3 linked regions of the Coturnix japonica genome follow. The protein of the gene in region 1 interacts with the protein of each later gene in a pairwise test. Links are inferred from orthologs where the notes say so. Each region holds a gene or a part of one and is shown on either strand. Other genes may lie near its edges.

Region 1 (4,312 bases):
TTGCATGCAGATACTGCTGGGAAGAAGCATTGCTGGAGATACAGAGAATCTAAATGCTCAAAAGAAGGCTTTGTGAGCTGGCAACGGCACAGAGCAGGGGATGCGTCCTCAGCAGTAAATGACTTATTTCACAAAAACAGTTTTACAGAAAAACTGTGTCACTGTCGGCAGCAGTGAATGGAATTAAAAAGGACATGAGTTATGGGGACACATGAGAAATTCATTCCCAACACTGCCCTGGGCAAAGGTGCTGGAGCTGGAAGTGTCTGAGCACTGCAGGGTGGCATGGGTGGAGTTAATTCTGTAAAAATAGAATGGCATGGAACATGGAATGGAATGGAATGAAATAAGGAGTGGAATGTGGAATGGAATAGAATGGATGGGATGGAGTGGAGTGGAATGGAGTGGATAGGATGGAATGGAATGGAATGGAATGGAATAGAATAGAATAGAATAGAATAGAATAGAATAGAATAGAATAGAATAGAATAGAATAGAATAGACCTTCATGATGCTGTAACCATGAGATGGGGTGGGATCATGGGAACCCTTTTTTCTCAAAGCAGAAAGCTTTTCCAGAGCTGTTGTACTGCAAAATGCTGCTTTCCTTCCCCCAGATACAGTGTGCTGTGTCGCCAGGCAGCTGTGACACTGCGATGTGTTATCTCACGTATGCAGCCTCAAAGCCTTGCCAACTGAATTCTCTACCCTGAAATCCTTCAGTTTCAGGGTGTTTTGAGACCATTTGCTAAAAGCACAACAATGCAACAAGAGCTCTGTGCTGGTTTGCAAGAACAAAAGGATGACATTAGGGAAGCTGGAAATTTCCAGCAAATCCTGCAGCATCGCTGGGTCTGGGAGGTGTGTGTGGATACAGGAGCAGCGCTGCCCTGTGCATCCCTGCAGTGCATCGCACTCACAGCCGTGGCAAAGCACAGCCTCCAGGTGGGGGTGCAGGGTCTGCTGCTCACTCAGGGTTACAGAGAATAGAGATGGATGTACGGACCCTTAAAAAAAAAAGCATTGAGGCAAGAGGGAAAAGGGACTTTTGCATAGTTAATAGCTTTTTAAGAGATCTTGTTTCAGCTTCATCTCATTTGTATATATATTCATATAGTCTGATTTTTGTAATGGATGCAATATATTTGTACGCTTGCAGAAGTGCATGAATAAATAAATACATATATATTAAAGGGAGGGGAGAATGGTGTATCGGGGGGTGCATGACCCAAAGAAAGGCTGTGAGGAGGATGAGGATGAGGAGGAGGAGTAGGAAGGTGAAAAATAGGACGATGTGGAGGACAAGGAGGAGGAGGATGAGGAGGATGAGGATGAAGGTGATACTGATGATGATGTTGAGCAGGGTGAGCACGTAGAAGGCAAGATGTGAATGATGGTGAGAGCCCCGCGCCCCCCTTCCTTTGCCCTTCCCCGGGGATAAGGGGGTGATGGGGGGGGGCTGGGGGGGCGTGAGCTCCTCAGATGACGTCACCCTCCCCCCCCAGCCCGTTCCGCGCGTGCGCAACGCCCCCCCCCCGCCCTCCCCCCGTCAACCTTCTCCCGGAGAGCGGAGGATGCGGGGCCGCAGGTGGGTGCGGGGCTGGGGGGAGCACAGGGGGGGGAGGACATGGGGAGGGACCCCCGTGGGGGTGTGGGAGTGCGAGAAACTGGGGCTGCAGCCGGAGGGGAGTGGGTGCACGGTGCGTGGATGTGTGCGTGAGTTGATGGGGGTTGCACAGGGCGTTGCATGTGTGCGGGGTGGGGGCTGGAGAAAGGTTTTGGAGATGCAGCGCGATGGATTGCGGGGCTCTGTGGGGGGGGGCATCACTGCGCAGTGTGCGGATATCGCGTGAGGGCGCCCCTGGGCGGGGGGCGCGCTGGGTGCTGCGCACGGGTCGTAGCGATGGGATTTGGGGGTGCTCGGTTGTGGGGGGGCAACAAGGAGCTGCCCGCCCCTCCGGTGCCCGATGCGCTTCAGCAGCCGTGCGGGGGCAGCGCTGCGGGGCGCGCAGGCGCTGTGAGACGGGGCGGGGGAGGGGGATGTGGGGCTGGGGGCGTTTGGGGCGCATCGGGGGGGCCGTGCAATGAGCTGCACGGATGAGGGATGCTGGCAGGGGCATGCGCAGTGCACGCATGCGGTGTGTGTAGTGGAGAGCTTGGGGTGCACAAAGCAGGATACGTGTGAATGGTGCAGGTGTGCACAAAGCTGGTGCACAATGATGCGTGCACAGTGCACATCTATGAAGTGCATGTGTATGCAGCCACCCCGGGTGTGCATACAGAATGCCTGTGCACTGTACACACGTGCACCCTTCCATCTATGTGCCTCTGTGCAGGCATGCACTCCCTCCATGTGCAGGACTACACACCTGCACAGGACTGCAGGCCTGGAGGACAATTCTGGGATGCTGCTGAGGTGTTAGCAGGGATTTACCAAAATGCCATCAGATAGAATGCCAGTAGTGGTGGGTTTCTACTGAGATACAGGAGCACACTCTATTACTAAGATACTGCACAGCCATTCCTAGGACACTGCTCAGATGGCATCAGGGTACCACTGTGATACTGTTGAGATACTGTCACAACACTGATAAGGTGCTACTGGAACAGTATTCAGTTTTTAGTAGGATGTTACTGTGATGCCAATGGAATACTTCTGAGCTACTGCTAGAGAATGAGGACAGGTAGTGGTAAGATGCTTCTGGGGTACTATTAAGTGCTATTTGAGCACTCAAGGAAGCTTTTGGGATACCCCCAAAAAAAGAGAAGAAGCTCTAGGGATACTATTGAGCAGCTACCAAGACAGGACTAAAGTACTACTGGGATATTACTGACACTGGGCTTACAGCCAGCACAGGGACTGGGGAGCCCTGCTGACACAGCCTGTGAGCAGCAGGTGCCTCGTGGGCACCTTGTTCCCACAGCTAAGACGGCAGCGGTGGCAAGGAGGATGGAAGCACCCCTGGTAAGCCTGGAGGAGGAATTCGAGGAGGGGCTTGGGGACAATGGGGGGACCCCCCGGCGCACCATGGACCCAGCACTGGCTGAGCTGGAGAGCTTCTCGACTGAGATGATGAGCTTCAAGTCGATGGAGGATCTGGTGCAGGAGTTTGATGAGAAGCTCACCGTCTGCTTCCGCAACTACGATGCCACCACTGAGGGCCTGGCCCCTGTGAGAGGCCGGCTGCAGGCACAGGAGGAGGAGGAGCACCTCCAGGATGAGGAGTGAGTAAGGCTGTTCCTGCTGGGAACGTGGGTCTCCTTGCACTTCCATCCCCATGTTGTAGCATGATCATGCAGTGCACCACAGTTTTGGTGCAGTAACTCCCTTAGGGCCTTTGTGCCTCCTTATACCCCTGAGACTTCCCCCATGTGCTGCTCAGAATCCTGCATCATGCTGTAATTGTGCATATGCATGGAGTTCCTGTGTGCTGTCTTACAAATAGGACACATAGGACACTTGGGCCTGCATGTCTCCTTGCATCACTGTGAGATACACCCCACCCCCAGCATGGAAACCTGCTTGCCCCATTGCAGCATGACTGTGTGGAGTGTTGTGTTGTGTCCTATGAGCAGGGCACATCTGGGGCCTGTGCACCCCCTTGAGTGCTTGCAGGGCACCCTCCGTGTGCAAATCAGGTCCTTCCTTGCAGCATGGGAATGCAATACCATGCAGTATGTGTAGTATCCTACAAGTGAGCACATCAGGTGCCCCACATGACACTGCAGAGGGTCCAGGCTTTGTGAGGAGAGCTGGGGGTAAGTGTGAGCAGAGAGTAAGGTGTGAGTAAGGTGAGGGCTCATCCTCCTCCTTGCAATGTAAAACTGTGCACCAGAGTGGGGCTGTTAGGGGCAAAATCTGCCCAGTGCTGCCTTTCCAGCCAGAAGCATCATAGTGGCATTTGCTCTGAAATCTAACTTTCCTATGAAACCTTTTTTTTTTTTGTTGCAAAATGCCATTTAGGGGCAGAATTTGCCAGCAGTGTTGACATACAAACAACTTCCTAATGGATTTCTTTTTGCCTGTTTAGTTGAGATTATTCCCCAGGCTGCACTTCCTAATACTGATTTTTCACCATGCAAAGTGGTTGTTTTTAAACCAAAAGCTCTCAATTTTTTTTTTTCTTTTTCTTTTTTTTCAGCTGTTTTTGTATTTTCCAGTGAAAAATCAGTGATTTTGCAGAGAACAAAATGAATTCTGGCAGAACGCCCAGAAAGCTGCGCTGCCACCAGCAGCCCATGGTGCCACTTAGTGCTGTGGATTGTGTCACTTTGGGTCAGTTTGGGCAAAACAGGCTTTTTCTTTTTTTCC
Region 2 (4,337 bases), on another chromosome or scaffold:
GAACTTCAGCAGTAACATTACATGCACACATACGTGTTTCTTAATACCAACCAAGACACAAGACTATAAACCGTGCTCTGTATTTAAGAAGGAACTGGAAGAGTTCATCACACGCCATACGTGGAAGTTAATGAACTATAATACTGCGACTCAACAAACAATACTTGTCACCTTAGACACCAAAACAAAGACTGTGTTTGCTTTTACCTGATCTGGATTAGAGCTGCTACAGAAAGCTCGGCTTGTAAGTAGTATTCCCTGAAAGGTTGCAGCAGATGGGCCAGAGGAAATTCATCTGTTAAAACACAGACATAGAAATTGTTTAATACACCAGAGAGTCCTTTGATCCCACTGTCTGAGAAGTTCCACATTTGCTGACTAGTTTGCTGATCCCCAGCTTAACTTGAAACCCTCACCTTTTATTTTCATGTTATGCACATCTCGCCCTTCCCAAAGCTGTCAGAGCAAAGCTCAGACCAGCAAAACTTTTCCCTGTCTCTGTCCTCTGCACCATGGGAACATATGGACACTGAATTGTTTTATATCACACAGACTGCACTAACCAAATTGTCAGAACGAAGCACCTGCTGCACGCTGGAAGTCTTCAATCTATTCTGTTTATTCCCACCTCAGTGTAACCTACAGCCTCTTTTGTGCCTGTATTTTAAACCCAACGCCTAAGAGTTGAAAGCAATAAACACGGTGAAGTCTGGCAGGCAGGATTTACCTGGATCCCCAAACAGCTTGGAATCAATGTCACGCTTCTGCTGTAGAAGCTTTTCCCTTTCCTTCTTCTCTTTCTTTTCCATTTCTCTCTTCCTTTCTTCCTCCTGTTCTCCTTCCAGCATCACTCTCAGCGCTCTCTCCTCAGCCTCATACAGCTCTGTGCGATTTTGGAGCAACGCTCTGAGACTTTCCACCTGATTTTCAAAGGCTTCATCTGCCGAGGGAGGTGGACAAACGCCTAAAGAGAAGGAGAATTAACATCACAAAACATTCACAAGGAGCTGTTATGAGACTTAAAAGCAGAGCTGGCAAAATCTCAGACAGGCACAAGCTAACAAATATCTCAACAGGAGTTTTCTTCTGGTAAGAAAGAGTTTGGAAGCATAGGAACAGTCGCTGCATCCAATCTGCTGTCCTGCATCCCATAGCTATCCTTACAGAACAACATAATGACAATAATAAAGAAACAGCTTCTTCAAAATGCACCTTCCACATCCCGTTATTTCCCGTGCGCACCATTAGAAGAATTCCCCTAATTAACCTTTCTTGGCAGCAGCTTCTTTCCTCAGTTTCCGAAGCTTTTCCAAGGAGCCCAGGATGTCCACCATCCTCTTGGTGTCTGCCTGCTTCTTCCTTACTTCAGATAAGACGCTGTCTGCAGCAGCCTTAAGCTCCCGCTCCTGCAAAGGAAAGAGAAGCAAAAGGATGAATTATCCCACACAGACCAGAATGAGAAGCTACTATCAAAAACAGAGTCCCCCTACCAACATAAACTGTTCTGACTTCACAGCTGTGCAGTTCCAGACCATTAACGTGCCAGTCTGGATACAACACTTTGCATATCAGCTGCTCTCTGCCACCCCAGCAATAGGCCCAGCAACCAATGCAGTGCCAACACCACTTCCCATTGAGCTTAATTTGGGTGGGTTTTTATTGTTATTTTATTGCTTTGGAACCTTGCCCACTGCCTGTATCCCTCTGGGCCTTCAGGGACAGTATCCCCACCAGGTGAGCAGTTTGCACTGCTCTTTCTGAATAGAAATGTCTCCTAATATTCAACCAGACCCTCCCTGACCCAACTGGAGGCCATCACCTCTCATTATATCGCTGTTAATGGGAGCAGAGGCTGAGCCCACCTCTGCACAACCTCCTCTCATGAGTTACATAGAGCAAGGAGGTGTCCCCTGAGCTCTTTGATGGACCCACACCAGTCAGCTGCTGCTCATGGGACAGCGTTCCACACCTGCCCCTATATCCTTCTTATTGAGGGCCCTAATGCAGCACACGGCTGGGGAATCCATCCTCTGCCGATGACACAGCTCCAATTGGAGCCCCGGCTGTAGGCACAGGGCTGAGGCCGCTCTTCCATACCCGGTTCTTCTCCTCCACCTCCTGGATACACTTTGCCCTCCATCGGTCGATCTCGGCCTCCCTCTCCGCAGCTCGGGCCGCCTCCTCCTCCTTGGCTTTGCGGGCCTCCATCTTCCTCCTCTGCATCCTCTCCCTCCTCTTTCTCGCCTTCTCGGCCTTCCTGCCCATTTCCCGCAGGTAGCCGGGCTCTCTCAGAGGTCTCACCGTGTCCCTCAGTCCCTCCAGCAGCTCCTCGGCCTCCTCCCGCTCCCGTTCCCATCCCTCCTCACAACCCTCGGCCTCACGGTTCCTCAGTGCCCGGCACAGCGCGGTGAGGCGGCTCACGGCCCGCAGCGCCCGCACCGCCAGCTGCCGGCCGAGCTCGGGGCTGGCACCGCAGGGAGGGAACGGGGACACAACCGGGGGGACCCGCCGGGAGAGGAACTGCGCCAACCAGCGCTCATCGCGCTGCCGATCCGCATCGCCATCGGGGGGCAGCGGGGGAGGAGGACGGTCGGGTGAAGGCCACGGGGGGAAGAGCGGAGGGACGGAGGGACCGCGGAAAAACGAGCCGGGTTCGGATGGAGGAGGGAGGAGGAAAGGAGGGAGAGCAGGGCGGGATGCGGGGACCGGGAAGGGAGAGGGGGGCGGAGGGAACGGAGCGGGGGAATGAGGGGGGAAGGAGCGGAACGGCGGCGGAGTAAAGCGGGAGGTGAACGGAGGAGGGGGCTGCGCCATCTTGGAGGAGCGGCTGCAGCAGCGACACCTGGCGGCCGGGAGGAAACGGGGCTGGGGGCGGAGAACAGCACTGTCCGACCTTAACCCTCCCACTATCCGACCCGACCCTCCCACTATCCGACCCGACCCCCCCCTAACACAACTGGAGGCCATCCCCCTTCTTTCCTGCCCATCCCCAGCCGAACAGGAGCAGCAGGGATGACACAGCTCCATCTCCCGGGACTCATTGGTTTTATTCAGCAATAAGGTACAAACTGAGGTTACACAGCATTTGTTTCCTTAAAAACAGTTCTTGATTCTTAATAATTGCAAACAATCCCAAAACAACTTCCAAAACTAAAAGTTGTTGTTTGTTAACAGTTCTGCCTAAAATGGTTCTTTTTTGCAATCCATTAAAAAAAAAACGAAACCAATCTGGATTAAAGAAATCTTGAATTAAAAGCGATTCTATTTCTCACTCTACAAAGAGGAAAATGAGGACAGGTTACAGCTCACCACAGGTTCCCATCTAAGAGGCGATGGAGCTTCTCCTGGAAACACCCTCAGCTCTAAAAGCAGCTTCTTTCGAGCCGTGGATGGTGAGTGAACAGAAGGTGGAATCCTAAGGCGGTACCTGATGCATCTGGCTAACAGGGTCCTATGGAAGAAGGCAAGGATTACACCACTATCACTTCAAATTTACATGACGAAAACGAACAGAAAACAAGGGCCGAGCATCCGCAGAACCCTCCCCTACCTAAAACACCTACAGGATGGATAGAAAAGAACCAGACGAGTTAAATTGTTTAGGAGAAGGGCTGAGTAAAACCTAAATCCATCTGAAGGACGAAACCGAGTTGTAAGCGACAACTTTAATTCCTGAAACAAACTGCAAACGTAACAGGTCCATTTGGGGCTTTTACAAACACTTTCCTAAGGGACTGAATTCATTTGGGTGTGGGACAGAAGGCCTTGCTTTGCTGTGAGCCTACAAACCAAAGACAAAAGCACAAGATGCAATACTACAGCATTCAAGCATATAACTTAAGCAGTGCCGTGTGAACACTCGCTACCCATTACATCAAAAATATGATACACTTACTTTTCGTCTCTTAACATTATAAGATAGGTTGGGCAAATAGCTGGCACCAAAAAATTGATGCATGATCGTTCCAATATGTTAAACAAAACGTACTATATTAGAACATTAATATTTAAAAAATTTAAGCCAACTTGGCATCCAAACTCTGACCACCCCCTCCTTATTTCATTTACCCTTCTGGCAAAGTGAGCTCGTTATTGTCTTCACCTTCATCCTCAGCACTTAAGGTGACCGTAACTTTCTCCCAATGGGGAGGTGACCAGCAGGATGTATTATTCAGTATCCAATTTAACTAACAGCCCAGCGGTACATTGTTAGCATGATCTCCCAGCGCTGTCTGCAGGGTTGTCCCCAAGCTTTTCAGAGTCCTGGTGCAAGGGCTTCCCCTCCCAGCCCATGTAACAAATCGCTCCAGCACTGCTGGCTCCCAACACCAGCAGAA
Region 3 (3,122 bases), on another chromosome or scaffold:
TTCCTCACCGGCAAGGTGAGATGGAGCTTGTCTGCTTCTAAGGGGCTCCCCACACAGGGCACCGTGGTAGAGGGTCCTCGTGCCCTCACACCAGCTCCATCCCACTGTCCCAGGGTGACACCAGAGTCTTCCTCTATGAGGTGACCCCCGAGCCGCCCTATTTCCTTGAGTGCAACAGCTTCACCTCCAGCGACCCCCACAAGGTGAGGGGGTGTCCATTGGGGCTGTGCTGCCCACCATGCTCCCAGCTCTGCTCATGTATTTGCTCCTCCAGGGCTTCGTCTTCCTGCGCAAGACAGTGTGTGACGTGCGGGACGTGGAGTTTGCGCGTGCGCTGCGGCTGGGGCAGAGCAGCCTGGAGCCGGTGTCGTTCCGTGTGCCTCGTGTCAAGGTATTCACCGGGCTGGGCTGTGTGGGTACAGCTCATCGTGCTGTGCTCACCATCACACGTCCTGCAGAAGGAGTATTTCCAAGAGGACATCTTCCCTCCCACCCGCGTGTGGTGGGAGCCGGCCCTGAGCGCCAGCAGCTGGTTACAAGGAGCAGACGGGCAGCAGAGCCGCGTGGAGCTGCGTCCCACAGACATGGTGCCAGGTGGGTGTATGGGGCAGCGCGGGGCCTCCAAGCTGTGGGGCCGCCCCACATCACGCTGCCCCCGCAGTGAGCCAGGCCCCAAAGGAGGCACCTGCACGGAAATTCGTCCCTGCGGCCGTTTATCTGGGGGAGAAAACAGACGAGCAGAAGAAGGAGGAGGTGAGTGTGGGGATGGCGGGGACACAGCACTGCGATGCCCCGACCCACCCCAATACACGGCCCTGTCTGTCCGCAGCTGCTCAGCGCCATGGTGGCACGGCTGGGGAACCGGCACGACCCGCTGCCACAGGATTCGTTCGAAGGGGTGGATGAGGATGAGTGGGTGAGTTGGGGGGGAAGCGGGACGGGAGGGCTGGACACCAAGGACCGGCCATGGGCTGCACCGACACCGGCATCCATAGGACTAGGCCGCAGGAGGAGCACAGGGCACTGCACGGAGCACAGGCCGCACTGGATGGGACTCATCTTAAACTGGACCAGCACTGGGGGACGGCACCGCCATTAAAACCACTGCAGCTCCACCATTAAACCACGGCATCCCGCCATTAAAGCCGCTCATCCCCGCCCGGCTCCTGTTCCTTGTGAGGGATCCTCATCATGAGGGGCGGGGGGAAAATGGCGGCCGCTCTCCCGCCTCCTTAGTGCGCACGCGCGGCGCCCTTGGCCCGGACCTCCCGCTCGGTGCTGCCGCCAGGGGGCGCTGTTGTCCGGCTGGAGGCGGCGCTCCGCCCCGCGCCCTCCGCTCTCTGACCCCGCGCCCTTGTGGGAGCGGAAGCGGCGGACGGAACATGGTGAGCGGGGCGGGATGAGCGCGGGGTGCGGAACCGGAGGGACACGGAGCTGGGGGGGGAGCACGGGGCGGGACGGGACGGGACGGATCGGGGAGCTGCGGGCAGCGGACGTGGGACGGGGCCGGGAAGGTGGGGGCGGTTCTGGGCCGTGCCCGGTGGGAGCGAGGCCTGTCCGGACACACGGTGCCGGTTGGGCCGTGACCGGGGCTGTGCCCGCAGGCCAAGTACCTGGCGCAGATCATCCTGGTGGGGGCCCAGGTGGTCGGACGGGCCTTTATGAGAGCGCTGCGCCAGGAGTTCGCAGGTACGACATGAACCGACACCGGCTCCACAGCACACGGGGGGGGGCTCCGTGCACACACGGGATGGTGCCACCCCCAGCACCGGGCGGGGAGTGGAGCCGGGTGACACTGCGGGGGGTGGGTGGTTGCAATGGGGGGTTGTGGCTCGGAGCTGCCGGGAATCCCGGGGCTGTGGGGGCTCAGGACTGACCGTGTCCTTGGGCAGCGAGCCGAGCTGCAGCAGATGCACGGGGCCGCTCTGAGAGGCCTCAGTCTGCAGCCGCCTCCAGGATCATCGGCATCAGCCTCCAGGAAGCTCAGCAGATCCTCAACGTCTCCAACCTCAACCCAGAGGAGATCCAGAAGGTAAAGGCTCCTTCAGAGCAACGCGGCTGGGGAGAGCTGGCACAGGGTGGTGGGGGCTCCTGGAGGTCTGTAGGTGCTGCCCTTGAAGCAGCCTCGGCTCCAGGAGCCACAGCCCGCTGTGTTTTGGGGAGGGAGGTGCAGGGAGCAGCTCCTGATGGGGGTTTTCCTTTGGCAGAACTACGACCATTTATTCAAGGTGAACGACAAGTCGGTGGGAGGTTCCTTCTACCTGCAGTCCAAGGTGAGCAAAGGGAGGAGAGCTGTGGAGTCCCCCAGCTCTGCCCTCAGCCCATCCAGCTGCCGTTGGTTGGGCAGGAAGCTTCCAGAAACAGGTGTTTTGGGGCAAAACTGCTTCCTACGTGGCTGAACCCATCAGTGCCACAAAGGGAGAGCTCTGCATCAACCCATCGCCTCGTCCTGCAGGTGGTGAGAGCCAAAGAGCGGCTGGACGAGGAGCTGCGCATCCAGGCCAAGGATGAGAAGGAGAAAGGCTGGAAAGCCGAGACGTGACCGCTGTCACTCACACCCCCATTTCCCTCTCCCTTAAGTTATAGGTGGCCAATAAATGCCGTGTCCTCCACCACCTGGCCTGGCTGCTCTGCGCCCTGGGAGGGACCGAGGATGGCCCCAGCCCCGCTGCTGCCCCATGGCTGTGGGTGTGCAGCACAGAAACCTGACCCAGCTATAGGGGCCGGCACGGGCTGAGTGCTGCCCTGCAGATGATGGAGGTGGCACTGGGAAGGAAGGGTGTCCCCAGCTTGGCCTCAGGGCAGCCAGGGCTCCAGTCACACCCAGGAGGGGCTGCAGGAGCTGTTTTAATGGGGGTTGGATGCTCGCAGCCTGACTGCACACATACCTCTGGCTCTGGAGCTGCATGCAGATGGGCAGCAGGGACGGGCACTGGGTCGGGCACAGCAGTGAGGAGCCCTATGAGGACACAGCAGGGCTGTCCCCAGCTGCATTCCCTACATGGGGCCGGGCAGGGCCGGCTGTGCCCTCAGCTCTGTCCCTTGGCAGGAGCTCAGTGCTTTGTCCCCAACCTCTGGCTCCTTGCTGCCCTCGGGCCCTGGGCACAGGCAGGCAGCAGTTA

The links.
Region 2: the proteins of FEZ1 (region 1) and PDCD7 interact in a two-hybrid assay, tested with the Homo sapiens proteins (2 studies listed by BioGRID and IntAct). The link is inferred for Coturnix japonica from reciprocal best matches to the Homo sapiens genes FEZ1 and PDCD7.
Region 3: the proteins of FEZ1 (region 1) and PAM16 interact in a two-hybrid assay, tested with the Homo sapiens proteins (2 studies listed by BioGRID and IntAct). The link is inferred for Coturnix japonica from reciprocal best matches to the Homo sapiens genes FEZ1 and PAM16.

Annotation. Positions count from the first base shown.
Region 1 is NC_029539.1:76,984-81,295, forward strand, and holds the start of FEZ1 (fasciculation and elongation protein zeta-1), read left to right. Parts: upstream 1-1,467; 5' UTR 1,468-1,482; coding exon 1,483-1,588; intron 1,589-1,605; exon of another isoform or gene 1,606-1,627; coding exon of another isoform or gene 1,628-1,700; intron 1,701-2,924; coding exon 2,925-3,225; intron 3,226-4,312. UniProt on the Homo sapiens protein: May be involved in axonal outgrowth as component of the network of molecules that regulate cellular morphology and axon guidance machinery.
Region 2 is NC_029525.1:16,083,952-16,088,288, reverse strand, and holds the start of PDCD7 (programmed cell death protein 7), read right to left. Parts: upstream 2,851-4,337; 5' UTR 2,815-2,850; coding exon 2,098-2,814; intron 1,407-2,097; coding exon 1,268-1,406; intron 965-1,267; coding exon 728-964; intron 296-727; coding exon 208-295; intron 1-207. UniProt on the Homo sapiens protein: Promotes apoptosis when overexpressed.
Region 3 is NC_029529.1:11,176,032-11,179,153, reverse strand, and holds PAM16 (mitochondrial import inner membrane translocase subunit TIM16), read left to right. Parts: upstream 1-1,289; 5' UTR 1,290-1,382; coding exon 1,383-1,385; exon of another isoform or gene 1,386-1,410; intron 1,411-1,604; coding exon 1,605-1,689; intron 1,690-1,892; coding exon 1,893-2,032; intron 2,033-2,207; coding exon 2,208-2,273; intron 2,274-2,455; coding exon 2,456-2,542; 3' UTR 2,543-2,615; downstream 2,616-3,122. Other genes in the region: coronin-7, read left to right, coding at 1-15, 114-203, 275-391, 459-594, 662-753, 830-916, 996-1,001. UniProt on the Homo sapiens protein: Regulates ATP-dependent protein translocation into the mitochondrial matrix. Inhibits DNAJC19 stimulation of HSPA9/Mortalin ATPase activity.